Notamacropus eugenii: one gene and its partner. The protein of the gene in region 1 purifies or fractionates together with the protein of each later gene. This does not show direct contact. Links are inferred from orthologs where the notes say so. Each region holds a gene or a part of one and is shown on either strand. Other genes may lie near its edges.

Region 1 (10,464 bases):
CAATGTTTCTCAATTACAGCGCCCTGGACAGAACGCTGAACTGTTCATTTCTCCACCTGTAAAGTGGAGCTATGCATAACAAGTGTCAGTGCAAGTTTGTCAGGAAGAAAGCATTTTTAACTATAACCATGAAATGTGAATTATGATGAAGGGGGGAAGAGAACTAGGAAAGTGCTCTGGGCCATGGAAGAGACCAGTCTGGAGGGTTAGGAGAGAGGGGCTAGGTGGCAGCATCCAGGAGTGACCCACACCCAGGTCAGTCACTAGCTTCCTCCTAGAACTCTTTCCAAAGAAGGCCACAGATCAATTATTCAAAATCATTTGTTAGGCACCTACTATGTACCTTCACCGAGCCTGGTTCTTCCCAAGGGAAGAGGAAGAGAGGAGGGGCTTTGCTCCCAGGGAGCCTTCCAAGTGTGGACAAATAAAGTTTGTACAAAAATGGAAAAGAAGAGGGCAGGAAAAGGGGAAATAGTAAATTGCTGCTAGAATCTTTGAAGATGCAGAAAAGGCTTCTTGAGAGCCCAAACCTGAACCCAACAGAAACGAAGCCACACAGTGTATCAAGGTACCCACTCCACGAGCAGCTGTCACTGATGTACTCAGCAAAAGGAGAGATTGTGGACCTGCCTTTTCCTAGGTCTGGGAAATTCCCTCTACCAATACAGCTCAGCACCTCTTCTGAAGACAGCAACCTATATTATACAACTAAGTAATTAAGTGGCACAATGGTTAGAGCCCTGGGCCATTTGGAATGAGGAAGACTCATCTTCCTGAGCTCAAATCTGCTCTCAGCCACTTATTAGCTGTGTGACCCTGGGCAAGTCACTTCCATCTGTTTGCCTCAGTTTGCTCACCTATAAAATGAACTGGAGAAGAAAATGGCAAACCCCTCCACCATCTTTACCCCATGAGGAGTCACAGGAGCAGGACACAACTGAAACAACAGATCAACAACGAACACATAGTTAAATAAAATGAATATTTAGTTGCCTAAGAAGTACCCAAGGACAGCCCCTCTACAGATTTCTGAGTGAAGAAAAACAAGCCTCACACAGAAGAAACCAATGTCTCCCCTGAACAACAACAAGCCAACCTCTCTTCCAGCTGTCTCTGCCACATCCTGGCAGGGCAAAGAACCTTCTCCATGCCCTCATCTTTTAAGCCTATGCACTGCATTGGGAGGCGATTCTTTACTTGAGGTGTAGTACCTAGCCTCAAATACTCTATGTTCAAAATATGTTAACAAATTAATCCAATTATTAGTAATGATGAGGCACAAACAGTATCCTGAAACTGATTCTCACTAAGAGAAGTTTCCTTCTGAATTCAAAAGACATGGACCTGCTAGATAGAAGGATTTACTAGACAGTCTGCCAGCAGGCCAGATTTCCCCAATGATGGTTTGTATCATATGCTTCTGACAACTACATTGTAAAATTCAAGTTAAAGATAGGAATCAAAATGGAAACCTTTCAAAGAATAAGAACCTCTTCCATGTCCACACAAAATGAATAAAGTTAAGGTTTTGTTATGAAATGCCAAACTGTCATTAGTTGAAAAATACCAAGAAGCTGTTTTTCTTTTTAGACAATTCTGCATTCAATGAACTTGTAAATGCTTCTAGGCCCCTGCAATGGACCAGCAATGGCAGTTCCTAAGTTCTCTGCCAAGAGGTACTGACTTCCTATCTACTCCCACTCCTTTTTCAAAGTTCCTCTCTATGTCCTAAAATCACCACCTGGGAAATGAGGCAGTTTGGCTCAAGAGGGAATTACTGAAAACATGCTACAAATGTGCAGGCCCTCTTGGCTAGTGGTACTTGCTATGACTTTCATCCAAATTGGGTCTAAAGATGGAACTCATAGGAGAGTTTAATGCCTTATAGCCTTGAAACTAAAGTTTTCCTAAGGAAGCTCACTAAATGCAGATGGCAAAATGAGGGAAAAGATTCAAAATTCCACATATCATGAGACAAAATAATCCACTTACATAGATGCAAAACTAAGGGAATATCATTTCCCCAAAGCCAGTCAATTTAGAAGCCCAACTTGATGTGGAGGTTACAAGGCCCAAGTAGGACAAGTAAGATTCACCTTCAATGGCCCTTTCCAGCTCAACTTCACTTTCTGGTGTCTATATTTGTGTGAATGAATGTTCAGGACTTTCTCTTCCCACTGACTGCTCAATTACTGTGAATACTGAGCTGAGATGAAGGTGCTTCCTTAATCAAACTTAGATTGATAAAGAGGAATTTCCCAATTATTATTAGTAGATGTCATTTTGAGAAGTACCTTAAAAGTGAAGACATTCTCTTTACGTGGATTTAAAACCTCTAGAAAAATATCTTTTCATCCCCAAGTGAATCACGTAAGTTCAGAAACCAAGCACACTTGGAGGCTCCACGGGCCTACCTGGCACCAGAACACACATGTACCTCAATGACCTTGGAAGGCCACATTATATAACAAAGGTTTCTCCTCTTTCCACAAGAAACACATTCTCTATCAGCCTGAAACTGTGATGATGACCAAGGGAGCTTTGGGGCTGGTGCCAACCTTCCTCCTGTCAGGGTAGGCAGCTCTTTGTCCAAATAAATGTCATTTTACTGGCAAGTTTTTGTGAGACAATGAAATCAGCGACAAAAACTGAACCAACGTTCAATGTATATTGGAGACCATGGATCTCCCTTATCCTGGGTGGTTCCTCTGACTGGGGCACACTTTCCTAGGGGGCAGATGGGGAGGAAATAGGAACAGCAGAAAGGATGGAGCAAGTTCTCGTCTCTGGCTGCATACCTAGCATCCCATGGGGCTCAATGAGAATCCCTATGTAGGAGCCAAATCTTAAGAAGGGGGAGGGAACAGAGAGAGAGAGGTAAAAAAAAGGTAGCGTGCCATGGGACACAGTGCCAGATATGGAGTCTTGTCCCAGGTTAGGGTCACCAAGAGGCAAGGGCCAGGTCTCAAAAAAGATGCAGGGATTTCATGGGCCATGGCCCTGGAAGTCAGATGTGCCTTCTATGAACCTGGATGCTCCCTCCCTTCTCTGCTTTCAAATGGAGCCAAGTCCATGCTACAGCAGTGGATGATGGGGGCACCCAAAGGAATTCCCACTGTCTCTTCACCAAGTATCTTTGTGGAGCACTGCTGATAGATGAGAGGAAAACAAAAAAGAATCTTTTGTCTTTTCCACTGAGTGTGTTGAAAATACTAGACACCATTCTGTTTGTGGTCATCCAGATGCCCATTACCCAATGCTTTTAAAGAATGCTTACTGTGATCTTTACTAAATACAATTTTTTTACCCAGACCATATGCTCTCTGCCTCCTTTACTCCTAATCTAGACTCCCAGGGCAACCCCTTCAACTCTCCACTCCTATTTCCCATGGCTTCTTCCCTCATGCCCTGCCAAACCTGAATGACTCAGACCCTCTGCACACGTGGACAGAGCCAATGAAAGTCTGGAAACCCAGCTGACTCAGTCTACTACAAATGAAGTTACAGTCTCCCCGGTGGCTGTTCCTGCAGCTCCTTCTTCCATCCTCCCTGACTTTGCCTCCCCCTTCTTCCCTCCTCCAGGCCCTGCCTCCATTTATCTCCTCCTCTCCAAACTCTCGAAGGCCCCTCTCTTTGCCATCCACACAACCTCGGTCCTGTTTTCTCCAGCAGACTGCCCCCTGTCCCCGTTCCTCGCACCGACGGTCTCCTCCCTTGCTCCCCAAAAACAACCACCCCCATTTAATCCTCTGCTCCCTGCTGTCCATCGGCCTAGTCTGCTCTTCTTCCACCTGGCCTCACGGTCCTAGTCCTCTCACCTGTTCCTCTCGGCTTCCAACTGAGATAGCTCTCACCCGAATGCTGACCTCTGCGAGCTCTGGGCCTGGGTCAGCCCCCTCAGTGACCTCAACGGATCCCGGCGGGTCCGTTCTGGCCCCCACACGGGGTGTCCCCTGGGGACCCCCAACCCCCGGACACGCACCCTGGGGCTCCCATCGGAAGGGAATTCGGCAGACGGGGAGCGCTTCACGACGCTTAGCGACCGATACGATGAACACAACAACTCACAGCGCCCCCCTTCCTTAAAAGTGAAGGCGGAGCCGGGGGAATGGGGGTCTGCAGGGCCCGAGAACCAGAGCGGGGAGGGGGGCAGGGGAGCCCTCAGCCCGAGCCCGGGGCAGGGTCCGAGCGGCCAGCCCCGGGGGAGCGTCAAGGGTCCGAGTGGCCAGCCCGGGGAGGGGCGCGGGGGGGAAGGGGGAGCGCCCTTACCTTCGGCCACGTCCTCGTCGATGGCGCCCTTCACCTGCCAGAAGCACCACTGCAGGTCGCTGCCGCCCATCGCAGCCGGGCCGCCGCCCGGGCCGCCGCCCACGCCGGCTCCTGCAACGAGCGCACGGGCCGGTCAGCGCAGTCGGGGAGGGGGGACGGGGTCACGCGGAGGTCACGGGCAGGGACGGCGGGGGGAGACCCGGGGAGCGGGGAAGGGGGACGCGGGGCAGAGCTGGGGGAGGGAGGGGAGGGAGGGGAGGGGGGGGCGGACGGCGCCTCACCTGCCATGGCTGCCAAGCCAGGCCCGGAGTGCGCGGCGGGTCGGGGCCGGGGCCGGGCCGGGCCGGGGTGGGCGGCGGCGGCGGGGCCCCGGCTGGGCTCCTGCAGCTCCGCCCGCGCCTCTGCCGCCGCGGACCGAGCGCCGCCTCCCCCCGCAAAATGGCGCCCCGAGCCGGCGCCCGGACCGATGGCGTCACCGCCCTCCGCTCGAGGCCACGCCCCCGGTCGGCCCCGCCCCCGAGCGCTCCTCCTAAGGCTGCGCTCCATACGCTACTCAGAGGCCACGCCCCGACGCCGGCCCCGAGGCTTCTCCCTATACGCTGCCCCGTGGCCCCGCCCCGAGCCATCCTCCCGAGGCTCCGCCCCTCACTTCCCCAGCGGCCCCCGAGGCAACGCCCCCCAAAGGCCACGCCCCGACACCTGCTCAGAAGGCTCCGCTCCCCTACACCTCCGCCTCCGAGGCCCCGCCCCGGCTCCTCTCCAGGCCCTATCCTCCGTTGGGGGTCGCGCTCCCCTCACCTCAAGTTACGGCCTCCTTCCCAGAACCCTTCCCGAGTCCCGCTACCTTTCCCGCCCGGTGCTCCTCCTGCCTGGTAAAGAGGGAGGAGCCTCGGCGAAGGGAGGGGCGGAGAGGTGGAGGGAAGGGGAGGGGGGGAGAAAGGGGGAGGCAGAGGCGGAGTGGGGGAGGGGTGTTTGAGAAAGGCAAGGGGAAGGAGGGAAGGGGAGAGGAGAAGAAAGGGGGAGGCAGAGGCAGGGGAGGAGAGAGCCCCTTTGCAGGCAAAGAGATGCAAAGGGTCTTGGAGGTCCCCAAATCCATTTCACAGGTGAGGAAACTGAGCCTCAGAGGGGGCAGGTGAGGGCTGCAGCAGGGTCCTCCTTCTGTGCCCTCCCTTCCCCTCACCCCCCTGGGCTGAGGGTCTCCCACTGGGCACTCACTCCGGGGCCCTGGAGGAACGTAGGAGACAAGGAGTCTCCCTTTGAATATGGGGGAATCCCAGAATCCCCAGGCTGTAAGTTCATCATTCATAATTTATCCCTATGGGTAACTTCCCTACAGAAACTCTCCTCCGGATGCTGATCAATAACTTGCCAAGAACACAAAGAGTAGGTGATTTGTCCGAGGTCAACTCTTTTTATTAAAGGCAGGACTTGAACTCAGAGCCCTTCTCGGCTGCAAGGTCACCTCTAGTCATCGTGTATGTGAGGCCATTGAAAACTTGAAAGCGCCCACATGAATGTCAGGGTAGTTATTGTTGAAAGTACTTTTGTTCTGGTTGTTCAGTCTTTTCAGTCACGTGGGAGTCTTTTTGGCAAAAGTCCTACAGTGCTTTGCCATTTCCTTTTCCAGTTCATTTTACAGATGAGGAAACAGGCAAATAGGGTAAAGTGACTTGCCCAGAGTCACGCAGCTAGGAAGTGTCTAAAGCTGGCTCCACAGTAGCCCACAGTTTGAAACCCTTGTTCATCCATGTTGTCTGTGTAAGACACAGGCACATCTCTTACTTAGAAGGGCCCCCAAGGTCATCTGGTCCCACCTGCACCTGAACACAGCCTGAATCCCCACTCCAGCTCACCCTATGAGTGGTCAGCCATCCAGCCTTTTCTTTAAATAAATGTTTATGGATGGATTGATACCAAATGAACACAGATGAGTGCATACAATATCATTTGAGGCCTGAGAGATATAAAAAGGTAGTATGAGGAAGCCAATGGCTGATCTGATTCCTCAGGAAGCCAAGGATTCTCACAGATCTTGAGGGAGACTAGAGAGTGTGTCCAAAGGTGTGGCATTGGGTCCACATTCAGGTCCTACATTCAGGAAATTCTACAAGTAGTCCTATTCATTTGGTCATTCATTTCTTTTTTCTTTGTTTTTCTTTTTTTCATTAAAAGGACCATTCCCTGACTACTTCTTAAAGAGGCCTAGTTACTCAGTGGGTGTTACTTCCCTCTAAATGAGTACCTGAAAAGGCCAGCCTAAGAAGGCCAAGGTCTCCCACTGCATCCTGGCCCATCTCCAGTCATCCTGATGAATATCTGGTCACTGGACCCAGATGACTCAGGAGGAAAAAGTGAGGTTGGTGACCTTGCACAGCTCTCCCTCACTCAAAACAAAGTCAAGGGCAAGTCATGTAATCATTTCTCTGGTGTCATGGTCTTCTTTGAAAACAAAGAATGAACATAAAAGGGCATGAAAGGGAATAAGATGGAGTTAGTTTGAAAAGGGACTCAGAAGAACAGGCTGAAGAGTGTGTCTGTATTGTTCTAGAGATAGTGGGAAGTCACTCAAAGATTTTGTACAACAGAAGAATGACCAAGTCAGGGAGATATCCTAGAAATAGGACTTTTCCAGTTGTGTGAAGGATGGATCAGTGAGGGGAGATCCTAGGAGCAGGGATACCAATCAGGAGACCCTTTCAAAGGTCCAGCCTTGAATTGGTAAGGGTTGGAACAAGACTGCTGACTGTGTGGATAGAGAGAAATGGAAGAGGGGAGTAAACATTTATAGCAAACATTCAATAATTAATAAATACGTATTAAATGCCTACTGTGTATTAGTTGCCATGCTAAGTGCTCTTACAAATATGATCTCATCTGATCCTCACAACTGCCCTGTGAGGTAGATGCTATGGTTATCCTTATTTTAGAGTTGAGAAAACTGAGGCAAACAGAGGTTGTGACTTGCCCAGGATTACCCAGTCAATAAATGTCTGAGGCCACACTTGAGCTTAAGTCTTCCTGACTCCAGGCCCATATCTCTGCCCACTGTCCTACCAGCTACCTTAGAAAAGGACAGATCTGTCCCTTAGAAAAGAAGAGATGTGAGTCATGCTGTGGAGATGGAATTTAAAAAGCCTGCTAATAGATGGGAAGTGGGGGTAGGAGAGGGAAGAGACCAGGATGACTCTGTAGTTATGATCCTGAATGATTGTAAGCAGAGGAGTGACCTCAACAGACAAAGGAAAGCTGGAAGTTTGTCAGGGTGTAATGGGAAATAATTCTATTTTGGACATTTGGAGTTTGAGATGCCTGGGACAAGGTTCAAACAGTGGAATACCAATGAGGGGAAATTCTATTCCAGATTTGATTCTTATGCACAAGGAAGGCTTCTAAGTTGCTGAGGTAGAAATGATGAGTAACTTTGGAAAGAAGTAACCACTTCACATTAGAGTTTATGGAAGGGGAGAGGAAAGCCAGGCAGGGGCTGACGTGCACTTTGTGTTTCAGAAGGGCAGACTTCAAAGGGTTCCCAAAAAGATAGAAGCCTAGTAGAGGCTCAGAAGGGATGAGAAGTTCTCCACTTCCAAAGAGCAATTCCTGTGAGGATAAAAAAGAAAGTTTTCTAAAGAAGATGAATGTGGGTGCTCAGAGAATACAACAAGCAATTGAAATTCTGAAAGAAGGAATATTTAGAACTTGGAATCAAGAGCACTGAGCTGAGTGAATACAAGGTCACAGAAGAGCACAGTCAGGATATGGGCAAGTGTGAAGGCTCAGGCAAAGCTGAGACCATCCAGGAAAGCTCAGGAAGTCCAAGGCATTTTTTGGCTTCATGAAGGGAAGAGGAGGATGCCAAGATTGGCCTACTCTCCAGAGTCTTCAGGAGAAGACTGAAAACTTAAGACTGAAGGAGGCAGAACTGCTTCAATTGTGTTTTTTCTTCTGTTTTAATTGAAGGGATAATAATGTTTAGATGGCAAAAGACAGAAGAAAAGCATGGCTAAGTAGTACATAGGGTCATCAGATACTAGAGGGCACCTGAGAGGTTGTCAGATCCATGCTGACCTATTTAACCAGCCATTGTTGAAAAGTGCGAAATGGATAAAAGAATAGACATAAATACAGACATCACCATTTCCTGTAAGTATGAAGATTCCCTTGCCAAGTGGAGAGGTGTGGTAGACAAGGGCAGTATTAATTAAGGGGATACCTAAGATAGGAAGAGACTAAGAATGTCCTTGATGATGAAGAGGATAGGATGATTGGATTAGATGAACTTTGTGTCCTTGAGTCCTGAAAAAACTGGCTGATGTGATTGCAGAACCAAAGTCACCAATCTTTGAAAGATCCTTTGAAAGAATGAGGTGGGCAGATAGATCATAGGATTAAAGAAAGACAAATGACCTGGTTTATTTTTAAAGAGGGGAATAAACAGACTACCATCATGAGGCAGGTGGAGTAGACTTCAATGCCTCTTGAAATTCTAAAGCATATCATTAGAGAGATGGTTAGTGAACACCAAGAAAAGGAAGCAGTAACCGCAAAGATTTAATAATATGGAAGCTTCAGCAAAAGTTGTTCATGCCAGACTAACCTCATTCTTTTCTTTGGTAAGGTTACTAAACATATGCTATAGATACAGTTGGCCTAGATTTCAGTGTTCAATAACATCGTTGATGCTTTTCTTGTAGAAGAGATATAGAAATGTGGGCTACATGAAAGTATGCTTATGTGAATTCAGAATTGGTTGAATGGCTGGAACCAGTGGTAATTAATGATAATGGTTTGGAAGGTGCTCTCTAATGGAGTACCCTAGAGGTGTGTGCTGTTTACAGTTTTTGGAGGGGGAGATAGATTAGTTGGCATGCTTATCATATACCCGACTTAACATAAAGCTGGGATGGATTGCTAACAAGCTGGATGCTGCAGAATTAGGATCCCAAATGATCTATAATACTGGGCTACATTCAATCAGATGGCATTTAGTAGGAAGAATTGGTACATTGGGGTCACAAATACAAGCTGGGGGAGGACTGGTTCATCCAAATGAGTCACCAGTCTTTGTGGCCACTAGGAATATCACGGCAGTTTGAATGCCTGCTCAGCATGTGGCATGCAGGTCCAGAGGTGATGACAGTCCCCAATCTGGAAGGCTGTGCATTGAGGAAGGACATTGATTATTTGGAGAGGGTCCAGAGGAGGATGTTCAGGACAATCAGAAGCACCTCAAGGTTGTACCTTGAATGTAAGACCTGGGGATGTTTAACTTAGAGGAAAGAAGACTCTTCAGACAAATGAGAGCCACCTCCCAGTAACTGAAGGGTTGCCATGTGGAAGAAGGATTGGACTTGTTCTGTTTTCTTCCTGGGGACAGATCCTGGAACAATGGATGGACAACTTAGAAGCCACCCTCTCCTACAGAGATGTCTTCAGGAGGTAGTGGTTTCTCTCATGTGCCAGGTCTTCAGGCAAAAGTAGAATATGGAGTATGTTGTAGAGATGAGGAGGGGATGGATTCTCATTCAGATCCAGATCCTTTGACTCTGTGAGTCTGTGATTCCAGGGGCAATATTCTGCAAGCGGTGGAAGGAGCAACACTTGAGGTCAGAAAGGGCTTCAGGTGGATAACGAAACCTGGGCTTCATCTGGATGGAGATGATCATTCAGCACATGGGAACTGAAACTAGGTGATACTTCTTAATTACAGATCAGATTCTGTCACTCCCATATTCAGGAACCTCAGGAGCCTATGGACTCTGAATGCAGATTGAAACATACTATTCTCTCTCTTTCTCTGTTTTGTTTCTTCTTTCTCATGATTTTTCCCTTTTATTCGAATTCTTCTTTACAACATGACCAATGTGAAAATATGTTTAATATGATTGCACATGTATAGCCAATATTATATTGCATGCTTGGGAGTGGGAAGCTGAGTTGGGGGGGAGAAAATTTAGAACTCAAAATCTTATAAAAGTGAATGTTGAGAACTAAAGATAGATAGATAAATAATTTATTTAAAGAAAAAAGAAAGGTAGATGCCAGGACAGAAGGGTGGGGTCCAGGTTTTTTGTTTATTTTGCTTTGTTTTTAAGGATGGAAGACCTGGGCATGTTTATGGGGAGCAAGGAAGATGCTAGTGAAGAAGGAAAGATGGAAGAAGAGAGAGAGAAGTCCTTTGTTGGAGAAACGTGGAAA
Region 2 (10,088 bases), about 240 Mb from region 1:
AGAGCAGTTACCTTAAGGGCAAGCAGCAGCAGGAATGTTTCAACGCTGTAAAAGCCTCTGTCCACAAAGTCCCCCATGAAGAGGTAGTTGGTCTCAGGGACATCACCACCCACCTGGAGGAGGAGGGTTCATTTGTACCAGCTAGCTCATTACCCCAAACCCTCTTGAAAACCACATAAATGTGTCTGTCCCATCTACCTAGTTCAAATTAAAGCCACATTCCATTTTGAAGTGTCCCTAATAACTCTATCAAATACGCATAGCACCAAATCCAGGATTGGCCTATGTCGAAATTCCCCTTTACCCCACATCTTCAGTCAGATTAAAAGCTCCTATTCCAAATTAAAGAAGATTTCCAGACAATTGTGAACCTGTTCCTTGCTACAAAATTCAAGACTCAGAATTCATCCCAGCATCCCTCAGCTTCATCCCAGCATGCACACACAAACTCACTCTAAACAGCTCCTTGAGATCGTAGAATTGTCCATGGATGTCCCCGCACACCTGGGGTAAGAATCACAGAATGTCAGAGATGGAAGGAACCTGAGAGAACATCTAGTCAAAACTCCACATTTTACAGGTAAGAATCTGAGACCCAGAGCCTTGCTCCAAGGTCAGGCAGTGACAAAGCTAGAATTCAACCTAGCCCTCCTTTCTTAAAACCAACAAGAAGCCAGCAGGCAGCTAAGAAAGGAGCAGAGCACTTGCCTAACCCAGCATTGCCTGCAGAGTTAACTAACCCAGTGCATATGTAGCAGAGTCAGGTAAACTGGCTCAGTGTCCAGATCAGGTCCTTCTGCCCTAACCACAAGGTCCCCTTAGATCTCAAACTCCTTCCCATTAACAACTGGTGTGATGTTACTTTAATGATGGCAAAGGAAGTGAAACAACGACACAGTAAGACTCTAGCAAGCAAGAGTCTGAGTTTAGAGAATTCTGTGGCCAGGCCTCTATGAAAGGGAAACCTAATTCCATGTGGATTAGTGACCAAGCTGGACTTCAAATGCATGTATGTGTATATGGAAGTGTAAAACCAGGCCAAAGGAAATATGTAGGACTACAACAATTAGAACCTGAAGGCATCTAGCATAGGAGACTAGATATTTAGTCCTAGAGTTCTTAACCAGAGGGTCCATGGATTTTTTTAAAAAATGTATCTTGATAAGTATTTCAGTGTAAAATAATTTCCCTTGTAATCCAATAAATTAAAAAATTTAGATTTAAAAATATAGATTCTGAGGAGTTCAGAGGGCTTCACTAGACTGTTAAAGAGCTCCCTGTCACAAAAAAGGGCAAGAACCCTTGATCTAGCCCAACTCCCTTATTTTACAGATGAAGGAACTGAGACCTAGAGTGGTGCAGTGTCATGCTCAAGTACTAAGTAGCAGAGTCAAAATTCAAACCCACACCCCCTGACTCCTAGTACAGCACTTTCCCGCTATGTGTGTGCATATTTGTGAAAGACTAAACTCTTTATTGGGTGTTTATGTGCCAGGTCAAGTCTGATGGGATGGGCATACGTGCATAAACCAGCCTTGATTTAGGGATGGGGGAAGGGCTAAGGCTTTACTTACCGTGACAGGGGAGTCCACTCTCTGTACATTGCTCTCTTCCACCAAGATCTCTCTGAAGACACAAGGAGATGGTTGTCACAGCCAGATCAGGCCCCAGAGCAGCACTCCCTACCTCTATTCAAGGCCAGGTCTGACCCTGCCTTACCAGAGGCCTACAGAGCTGGCCTGGAAAGACTTCAGGGATCACTGTGAGAAGCACAAGAGTACCAGCACCCAGAAAGGACTCACAAGTGGATCAGGAGACTCTCTGTTCTCTCTGCCCCCTCCTCTATGATAGATCATGACAACAATCTTTCCATAGAGTATAGTTCTCAGGGTATCACTAGCTCCTTGTTCAAAAATCTCAATTCAATTCAAATTTATTAAGCTACATTATCTACTACATTCAAGATACTATACTAAGTGTGGGGGAGAGGGAAGAGGATACAAAGACAAAAACAAAAAAGTACTTGCCCTCAAAGAGCTTACATTCTACAGGGGAGAGACCGACACAGATGCAAACACATAAATACAAAGGATATGCAAAATAACACATAGGAATCAAAACTGAGAGTATGGTAACTGGAGGAGGGGAGAGAATCAGGAAAGATCTTGTGTATGAGTTGGCACCTGAGCTGTATCTTGAAGGAAGAGGGAGATAAGAAGAAAAGGTAAGGACACCTAGGCACCTGTGTATCCTAACAGGCAAGTGTCCAAACTCCTTCAGCTGGCCATTCAAAATGGATTCCTATGCTCAGATGCCACCCCATCTCAGAATATCCGACTTGAATCAAAGAGATCATCTAAGTCCAAATCTCCATTCCAGAGAGGAGGAAAACTGAGGTGGACAGAGAAGGGATAAAGTGACTTGCCAAAAGTCACAAAGTTTGTGACAGAGATGAGACTTCTGATTTCAAACCACGTCTGTTCCCAGCTCATCCAGTACTACTTCACATAACTTCAGCCAAACTGGGGAACTGCTCATTTCCCAAAGTCATTTTTGTTTCCCTACCAATACACTTTTGATCATGCAAGTCCTTCTCTAACTCCTTTCAGACCTAATTCTAACACCATATTTTCTCTGGGATATCTTTCCAGATCACTCCAGTTCACATTTGTGCATCCTCTGAAACCCTAGAGTACTTTGCCTATACCTCTTAGAGTATAGTACACATTTGGTCTTTTATTCCATATATCATGAGTATATATATTACATATATATTATATATATATTCCATATATCATGTATACCCACTCACCCTAGATTATACGTTCTTTTGTGGTAGGAACTGCCTTTTTTTGTTTTGTTTTTTGGAGAGAGAGGGAGTAGGGAGGGCATTTTTCACAGAATTCTTAGATGAATAAATGAATTTTAAAATTTCTCTTTTTTTCTAGGGGTCCTAGAAGAAAAGAGGATGGAGAAGCTCAAGAGTTAGTATGGGTCTTGGAGAAGCAGGGCAGAGGAAGAGGATAGGTTTCCTCAAAGTCAAGGTCCAAAACCTGGGGTCAAATAGTGTCTCATCTGGTGCTATACCAAAGGCCAAAACGAGTGTCCATTGGATCTCAAACTAGTAAAAGAATGGTGCCAGGGGCGGGGATGGTGCTCTGTAAAATCTTGAGGAAGAGTAAGGTCCTAGATATCAGCACAGGCCTATCTCTTTATATGCAGTTTGTCCACTGGGGACAGCAGAGCAGTCCCTTCCAATCTGGCTATTACAGGTAACCAAGGCAAACATGGGGAAACGAATACTGCAAGACCTTGGACCTAACCAAACATTCCTGATTTCTTAGGGGTTGTGGGTCCCTCCTTTAATCCTAACCTACAAGTCAGGACATAATAGCTCACACTCAGCTTTTTTTCAGGGTAAGATTTAAATTCTACCCCAATGTTCCCCTCTACGTCCACATGAGTCTAACTGGTTAACAAAGCTTTCACCATGTCACTCCTTTGCTCAAGAACCTTCAGCTATATCCAGACATCGAACCTAAGCTATGTGGCTTTCAAGGTCGCCCATAATCAAAAGCCCCTCTTACTGTTCCTAGTCCACACTAAATGTCACTCCTGCCACCTTGCTGTCCTATCATTTACTTTGCTTTCCCTGTCCACCAGCTTCCATCTAATGCAAAGGCCCAGCTTGAGTCTCACCTGTTTCCAAGAAGCCCTGACTGACTGACCACCCTCCCTGATCTCTTTGAATTCCTACAGGAACTTACGGCCCAATACAAAACCCAGCTCTAGCCAGGGCTTCCTGTTCATCCTGCTTATTCCAGGAGATGAGGGGCTCCCTTCCTGAAGGGTGGGACGGTTTTATTTATTCCCCGCCGGGCTGAGGCCTCAGTAAGGTCTCCCTAATGACTTTACCATTACACAGTTGCCAGGGGCAACCTGGCCGCCCTCCGTAGGCATTAAGCTTGACCCCCACAATGGACACCCTCGGACTCGGCCCGGTGGCTGGCGCCGGCCTCGCGAGAGGCGCGGAGGCTCACCTGGCCTTGGCGCACAGGGCCTTGACCTCGCTCTCCTTGATGAGCTCGCAGCGGCGCAGCTGCTCGATCTGCCGGTCCAGGTCACTGATCTCCGCCATGGTCCCCCCGCCTCACGCGGCCCCCCCCGGTGCGGGGGGCGGGGGGGGGAGACGCGCCCGGGGGTCCGAGCCCCTCCCTACTCCGCCCGCCCGCACGGGGTGTCTCCTGGAAACCAGGGTGAAGAGACAGGGTCAGCGGGTCAGACACACAATGTGGCCCGCGCCACCCCCGGGCTCCCCAAGCTCGGGGCCCCGCAGATGTCCCCCCGCCTCCCACCCCTCGCAGGCCCTAGGCCGGGCCCGGTGCCCCGCTCCGGCCGCCGCCCGGGATCCCCGGGAGGTTGGGGAGGGGAGAAGCCCAGCACGGCGGAGCCCAGGGGCCAGCCGGGAGGGCAGGACGGCGGCCCACGGGCGAGAGAGAGAACTCCTGAGGCTATTACCGACGCGGCGGCTCCGGGACTCCACTCTCGAGCCGCGGGCTCCGGGCTCCACCTTCGAGCCTCCGTCCGCTCCCGGCCGCCACTGCTGCCGCTGCTTCCGGCCCCGCCGCGGAAGCCGAAGTCCACTTCCGTCGCGCAGCGGAAGTAGCGTCAGAGGTTCGACGCCCCACCCCTCCCGTCTTCAGAAAAAAATCGGGCAAAGGAACCGGATGTTGTCCTTGAGAGCGGAAGTAATCCCTGAAGCGCGAGTCTGAGGAGGGGCTTCCAATGCGAGTCATTACTAGGCCCCGCCCAGATCCCTGCGATCTTAGTCCACTCCCCGAAAGCGCTACGGAAGATAGGGGAGAGCAGATTGTATTATTATAGTTTTAGGAACCATTGCAGCTGGACTATGTGTATTAGACGCTTGAGAAAGGTGGGGCTCAGAAAGCGGAAATGACCTGTCCAAGGTCACAGCTAATTAGTGGCAGGCCCTGGATTCCACTCCGGGGCTCCAAGGCCTGCGGCTTCTCTTCTCGGAGAATAGGCCGCATGGGGGATTTTAGGGCTGTGGGCCGGAATGGGACTACGGGCCCCTTTCACGGATGTTTCGTCTTCCGGGCCCTAGTCTGAGACCATGGGCAGGGCCTTTGTGACCGCTTTCCACGCCTTCCCCTCAGGGCTGCTCCCCATCTCCTTCCTCTCATTCCCCCATCAGCAGTCCTGCAGGGCCTCCCTTCCTCTCTCCAGCAGCTCCCCATCTCCTTCCTCTCATTCCCCATCAGCAGTCCTGCAGGGCCTCCCTTCCTCTCTCCAGCAGCTCCCCATCTCCTTCCTCTCATTCCCCCATCAGCAGTCCTGCAGGGCCTCCCTTCCTCTCTCCAGCCGCTCCCCATCTCCTTCCTCTCATTCCCCCATCAGCAGTCCTGCAGGGCCTCCCTTCCTCTCTCCAGCCGCTCCCCATCTCCTTCCTCTCATTCCCCCATCAGCAGTCCCGCAGGGCCTCCCTTCCTCTCTCCAGCAGCTCCCCATCTCCTTCCTCTCATTCCCCCATCAGCAGTCCTGCAGGGCCTCCCTTCCTCTCTCCAGCCGCTCCCCATCTCCTTCCTCTCATTCCCCCATCAGCAGTCCCGCAGGGCCTCCCTTCCTCTCTCCAGCCGCTCCCCATCTCCTTCCTCTCATTCCCCCATCAGCAGTCCTGCAGGGCCTCCCTTCCTCTCCAGCAGCTCCCCATCTCCTCATTCCCCCATCAGCAGTCCTGCAGGGCCTCCCTTCCTCTCTCCAGCAGCTCCCCATCTCCTCATTCCCCCATCAGCAGTCCTGCAGGGCCTCCCTTCCTCTCTCCAGCAGCTCCCCATCTCCTTCCTCTCATTCCCCATCAGCAGTCCTGCAGGGCCTCCCTTCCTCTCTCCAGCCGCTCCCCATCTCCTTCCTCTCATTCCCCATCAGCAGTCCTGCAGGGCCTCCCTTCCTCTCCAGCAGCTCCCCATCTCCTCATTCCCCATCAGCAGTCCTGCAGGGCCTCCCTTCCTCTCTCCAGCTGTCTCCACCTATCAGAACCTTGCCCATCTCTGCAGGATGACCTTGTGTGGGCTTCCCTGAAACCTATAGCATTTTCCCTTTATGTTGTTCAGTCGTAGCCCATTTGGTGTTTTCTTGGCAAAGATACTGCAGTGAACTTTTGCCATTTGCCCTTCCAGCTCATGTTTCAAAGATCTGAGGAATGGAGGCAAACAGGGTTAAGTGACTTGCCCAGGATCACACACCTAAGTGTCCAGGCCAAATCTTAAACTCAGATCCGTGAGTCTTCCTTATTCCAGGTCCAGCACCTATCCACCACCTACTTGCCCTTATAAGCATCCTTTGTTGTGGCATTTGCCAACTAATAAACTAACATTTAGAATGGCACCAAATATTTTGCCATGTTTTTTCTCCTCATAATAGGAAACTGAGACAGGTTGTATAAGTAATGAATTTCCATTTCACAGGTGAGAAAACCAAGATTCAGAAAGCTTTAAGTGACTTGCCTATGGGATACACAAAACACTTCGTAGTCCATCTCCTATCTCTTGCCTCCCAAGGCCAAAACTGTTCGCTATGTTTGTGTATCCTACACTAGTTACTTGTTTGATATATCTTCTCCACTAAACTGTAGATCCTTTAAGAATGAAATAGAGAAATCCCAGTTTGGGAATCGGGATAGCTGGATTCTATACTCTTTCCTTGAAATTTAACAAAGACACCTCCCTCTTTGAAACTTACGCAGTTGAGCTAGGTGATCTTGTACACTGAATGAGCTGAAATAGGCCTCACAGGTCATCTAGCGCAATTCGTGCCTGAATAGGAATCTAGGATAAATGATCATCCTCCAAATGCTGAAGAAACTCTTCTCAACGACAGTCCATTCCATTTTAACTATAGTTTTAAGTTTACTTCCAAAATCAGCACCTTGTTAACTTCCATTACTCCCAATCCTGCTCTTTAGAGCCATAAAAAATAGTACAATCCTTCTCCTATATAAAAATTCTCTATTTTTGAACTATCATGCCATAACCCCTAGTTCTTCCACCTTTCTGTCCTCCAAATTAAATATCCACATTTCTTTAAATTGAAGATTTTTGATTTCTGGTCTCACCATTTTGGTTACTCTTCTGAATGGTCTCAACTTGTAAATACCTATCCTAAAATGTGAGGCTTAAAATAACATCCTAAATGTGTGTTACATTGTATAGAAGATGCTCAGTAACTATGAGAAACAAGTCAAACCTAATAAAAATATAGCCAAATGTGTACTAATTACTCACAAATATGTAAGGACTTATATTTGGCAATAGGAAACCCAAAGTTCTCTTTTGGTTTGAGCTTTTCTAGGCAGAATGACTGAATTTATTATAAAAAGCAGTCACAGGTGGATAATTTGTAGGGATTGACTTAAATTTGGGACAAATTTACATTGGGATAAAGGTGCTATTGACTTAGTAGTCTGTCCCAGACATAAGTTTCTATTGCTCTTTAACAGTCTTATTGTCCAAGATTACACAGCTAGTAATGGGAAGGACCAAATGCTTAGCCCTTGTGCTTACAAATCCACTGTTTTTCCCTACCCTATCAAGCTGCTGCTTCATTCTTTGGCAGAAAAAGCACATGATTGCAGCCTGACTCTCTCCTATTTCCATGTACCACTGCCAATGTGAGGAAAATAGACTAGAAACTGGTTCCAAGCAAGATCTATGCCAAGGAAAGAAAATTAACGAGTTCTACCATGACACCCTAGATGAATGAAAGGGGCAGACACCTGCCATCTAACTTAAGATGCACAAAACTGAACCCCATTTGCTTTGGCAGACAGGGTCCCAAAATTCCCTGGTGATTTCTTCATGACACATACCAGTGTCAATCATAGTTCTTTGAAAAGAAAAAACCCACCCTACAAATATTATAGGAGATATCTAAGGGTAGTGATTGGGAACAATCTTGATTTTGTAGAGGTTGAGTACTTCTGGGAACCCATCTTGACATCTATGCCCAAGTCAGTGCCAAGAGCAAACTGGCATGATAAGGAACACCTCTCGGGTAAACAATTGGTCCTGGAGCTCCCAAATAGTTCTCAATTGTGACCCACATCAATATTTCCATAGGGAATCTTGCTCTTGGGGAAGGGGAGATTTGGTTGGCAAAATGAGTATGTCCATTTACACACACCCTTGGGAAGATGATACTCTCTTCTCCAATGATCCACAGCTAATTTAGAGTTTGTATTAAAAGCTAGAAAACCCATTTCCTATTTACAACACTCCCCCCCCCCCCCCATACTCCTCACAGGGGGTTAATAAAGATGATTTTTTTTTTTGCTCTAGGCAGAGATTGGTTTTCCTTGCCCTGACAAGACAGTACAAAGCTACAGAAGGACCCAAGCACCCCAAAGGGAAAGTCACCCCTGCCCTATCACAGGCACCAGACTCCTTGTTAAATAGTTGTTTATTGGAAAAAGCGGGCTGAGGAGGGGTCGCTAGATTCACCAGAGAGCAACAATACCGCACAAATGAGGGGTGATGGGACAGGTCAGCACGAAGCTCTGGGATCTCAGCCTCTTCCTGGACTGTGAGGGATGGCCTGGAGTGTTAGGGCATACCCAGCTGGAAGGCCTTGACTTAAGTTAGTAGGCATGGTTAGAGATAAAGAGAGACTCGCTGGCTGCAGCTCCTGCCTTTCCACTTGGAGTATACTTGCCTTGAGCAGCTTGGCTGTTGGCCTAGTGAAGGAAAAGGGAAAGAAGGAAGTATGAGAAAGGCTGGTAGTTCTGGATCCTACCCTCAATGACACCACAGACCCAGCTCAAGCACAGATAAGCTCTGCATCACCAGAAGGGACTGAAGACTACTTATTCTTTTCTCCTTTCCCCAATCCTGACCCCTTGTTAATTTATGTTCCCAGAATCCTGCCTGTCAAGGTCCCTGATCCTGGTTCTTTCCCTTGTCCCTTCTCACCGTGGCCCGCTTAATATATTCCTCTTGGGCAGCCTTGACATTTTCCTTTTTTCCACCCCAGGTCTTGAGAGCAGATGCCTGCAAGGCTCGGCCATAAGAGAAGGTCAGGGCCCATGGCTTGTGCAAGGGGCAAGTATTGATGGCATTGAGATTGATGGAGGCATCCTCTTCACTCTGACCCCCAGAGAGGAAGGTGATACCTATGGAAAGCAGAAAAGAGATGAAAGAAATATCAAATAGTATATAAAAAAGTGCTGGTAACAAGCATTCCTTAAAAAAAAAAAATGAAGAGAACGCATGTGACCCAAGGTGAAAGAAACCATGGGTAATAAATACTGAGGGAGAAATCGATTTCTCTCACCAGTGACCGCAGGAGGTACAGTCCGGCGAAGGGCAGTTACAGTTGCCATTGCAATCTCCTCATGTGAATATTTCTGGGTACAGGCATGGCCAGGGGTGACCATGTTAGGCTTCAGCAAGGTCCCTTCCAGATAGATATGGTGGTCACTCAGAGCTTTGTAGACAGCAGCCAGGACCTAGAAAAATGGCAAAACAACAAAGTTAAGTAGGAAATCACTAGCACTAGCTCCTGATCTACTACTTCCTTCCCAGTCACTCTCCAGTGATTCCTCACATCTCTTACCTTCTCAGTGACATACTGACAACGCTTCAGATCATGATCTCCATCAGGGAGGATCTCTGGCTCCACGATGGGGACAATGCCATTCTATAAAGCAAAGGACAAGGCTGTGAAGGCCTCCCTTACCTGGGGCTAACTTCTAGGCCTCCTTGGCTGTTAACAAATAGAGACATAGACTTTATCTTCATAATGACAGGTGTAAATCTTGAATTCCTCAAATTTCCAAACACTTAGGATCTCAGGGAGAGATGGCTATCTGCCTCCAACCAGTCCCTCATGATAATTATCGTTTATTCATTTTACAGGGCCAGCAGCTGAGGAAGCAGAATAACTGGTGCAGGATCATATGGCTAGTATCAGAGCTAAAATACTCCAAACCTGGCATGTCCCTCACTTTATCACACTGCTGCTTTACAGTTTCTTTTGTTTTGCTGTATCTCAGGCAAACTGAAAATCCCTAGGAT

Evidence for each region.
Region 2: the proteins of PPP2R2D (region 1) and PPP4C purify together in Homo sapiens (affinity purification with mass spectrometry; 3 studies listed by BioGRID and IntAct, counting the BioPlex papers as one, with this or other methods). This does not show direct contact. The link is inferred for Notamacropus eugenii from reciprocal best matches to the Homo sapiens genes PPP2R2D and PPP4C.

What each region holds. Positions count from the first base shown.
Region 1 is NC_092872.1:289,970,830-289,981,293, reverse strand, and holds the start of PPP2R2D (serine/threonine-protein phosphatase 2A 55 kDa regulatory subunit B delta isoform), read right to left. Parts: upstream 4,558-10,464; coding exon 4,551-4,557; intron 4,381-4,550; coding exon 4,270-4,380; intron 1-4,269. Other genes in the region: uncharacterized protein, read left to right, coding at 4,556-5,141, 10,362-10,464. UniProt on the Homo sapiens protein: Substrate-recognition subunit of protein phosphatase 2A (PP2A) that plays a key role in cell cycle by controlling mitosis entry and exit. Involved in chromosome clustering during late mitosis by mediating dephosphorylation of MKI67.
Region 2 is NC_092872.1:46,809,583-46,819,670, forward strand, and holds the start of PPP4C (serine/threonine-protein phosphatase 4 catalytic subunit), read right to left. Parts: upstream 4,644-10,088; 5' UTR 4,519-4,643; intron 4,245-4,518; 5' UTR 4,139-4,244; coding exon 4,041-4,138; intron 1,627-4,040; coding exon 1,575-1,626; intron 505-1,574; coding exon 454-504; intron 114-453; coding exon 12-113; intron 1-11. Other genes in the region: ALDOA (fructose-bisphosphate aldolase A), read right to left, coding at 8,654-8,749, 8,985-9,184, 9,346-9,520, 9,628-9,711. UniProt on the Homo sapiens protein: Protein phosphatase that is involved in many processes such as microtubule organization at centrosomes, maturation of spliceosomal snRNPs, apoptosis, DNA repair, tumor necrosis factor (TNF)-alpha signaling, activation of c-Jun N-terminal kinase MAPK8, regulation of histone acetylation, DNA damage checkpoint signaling, NF-kappa-B activation and cell migration.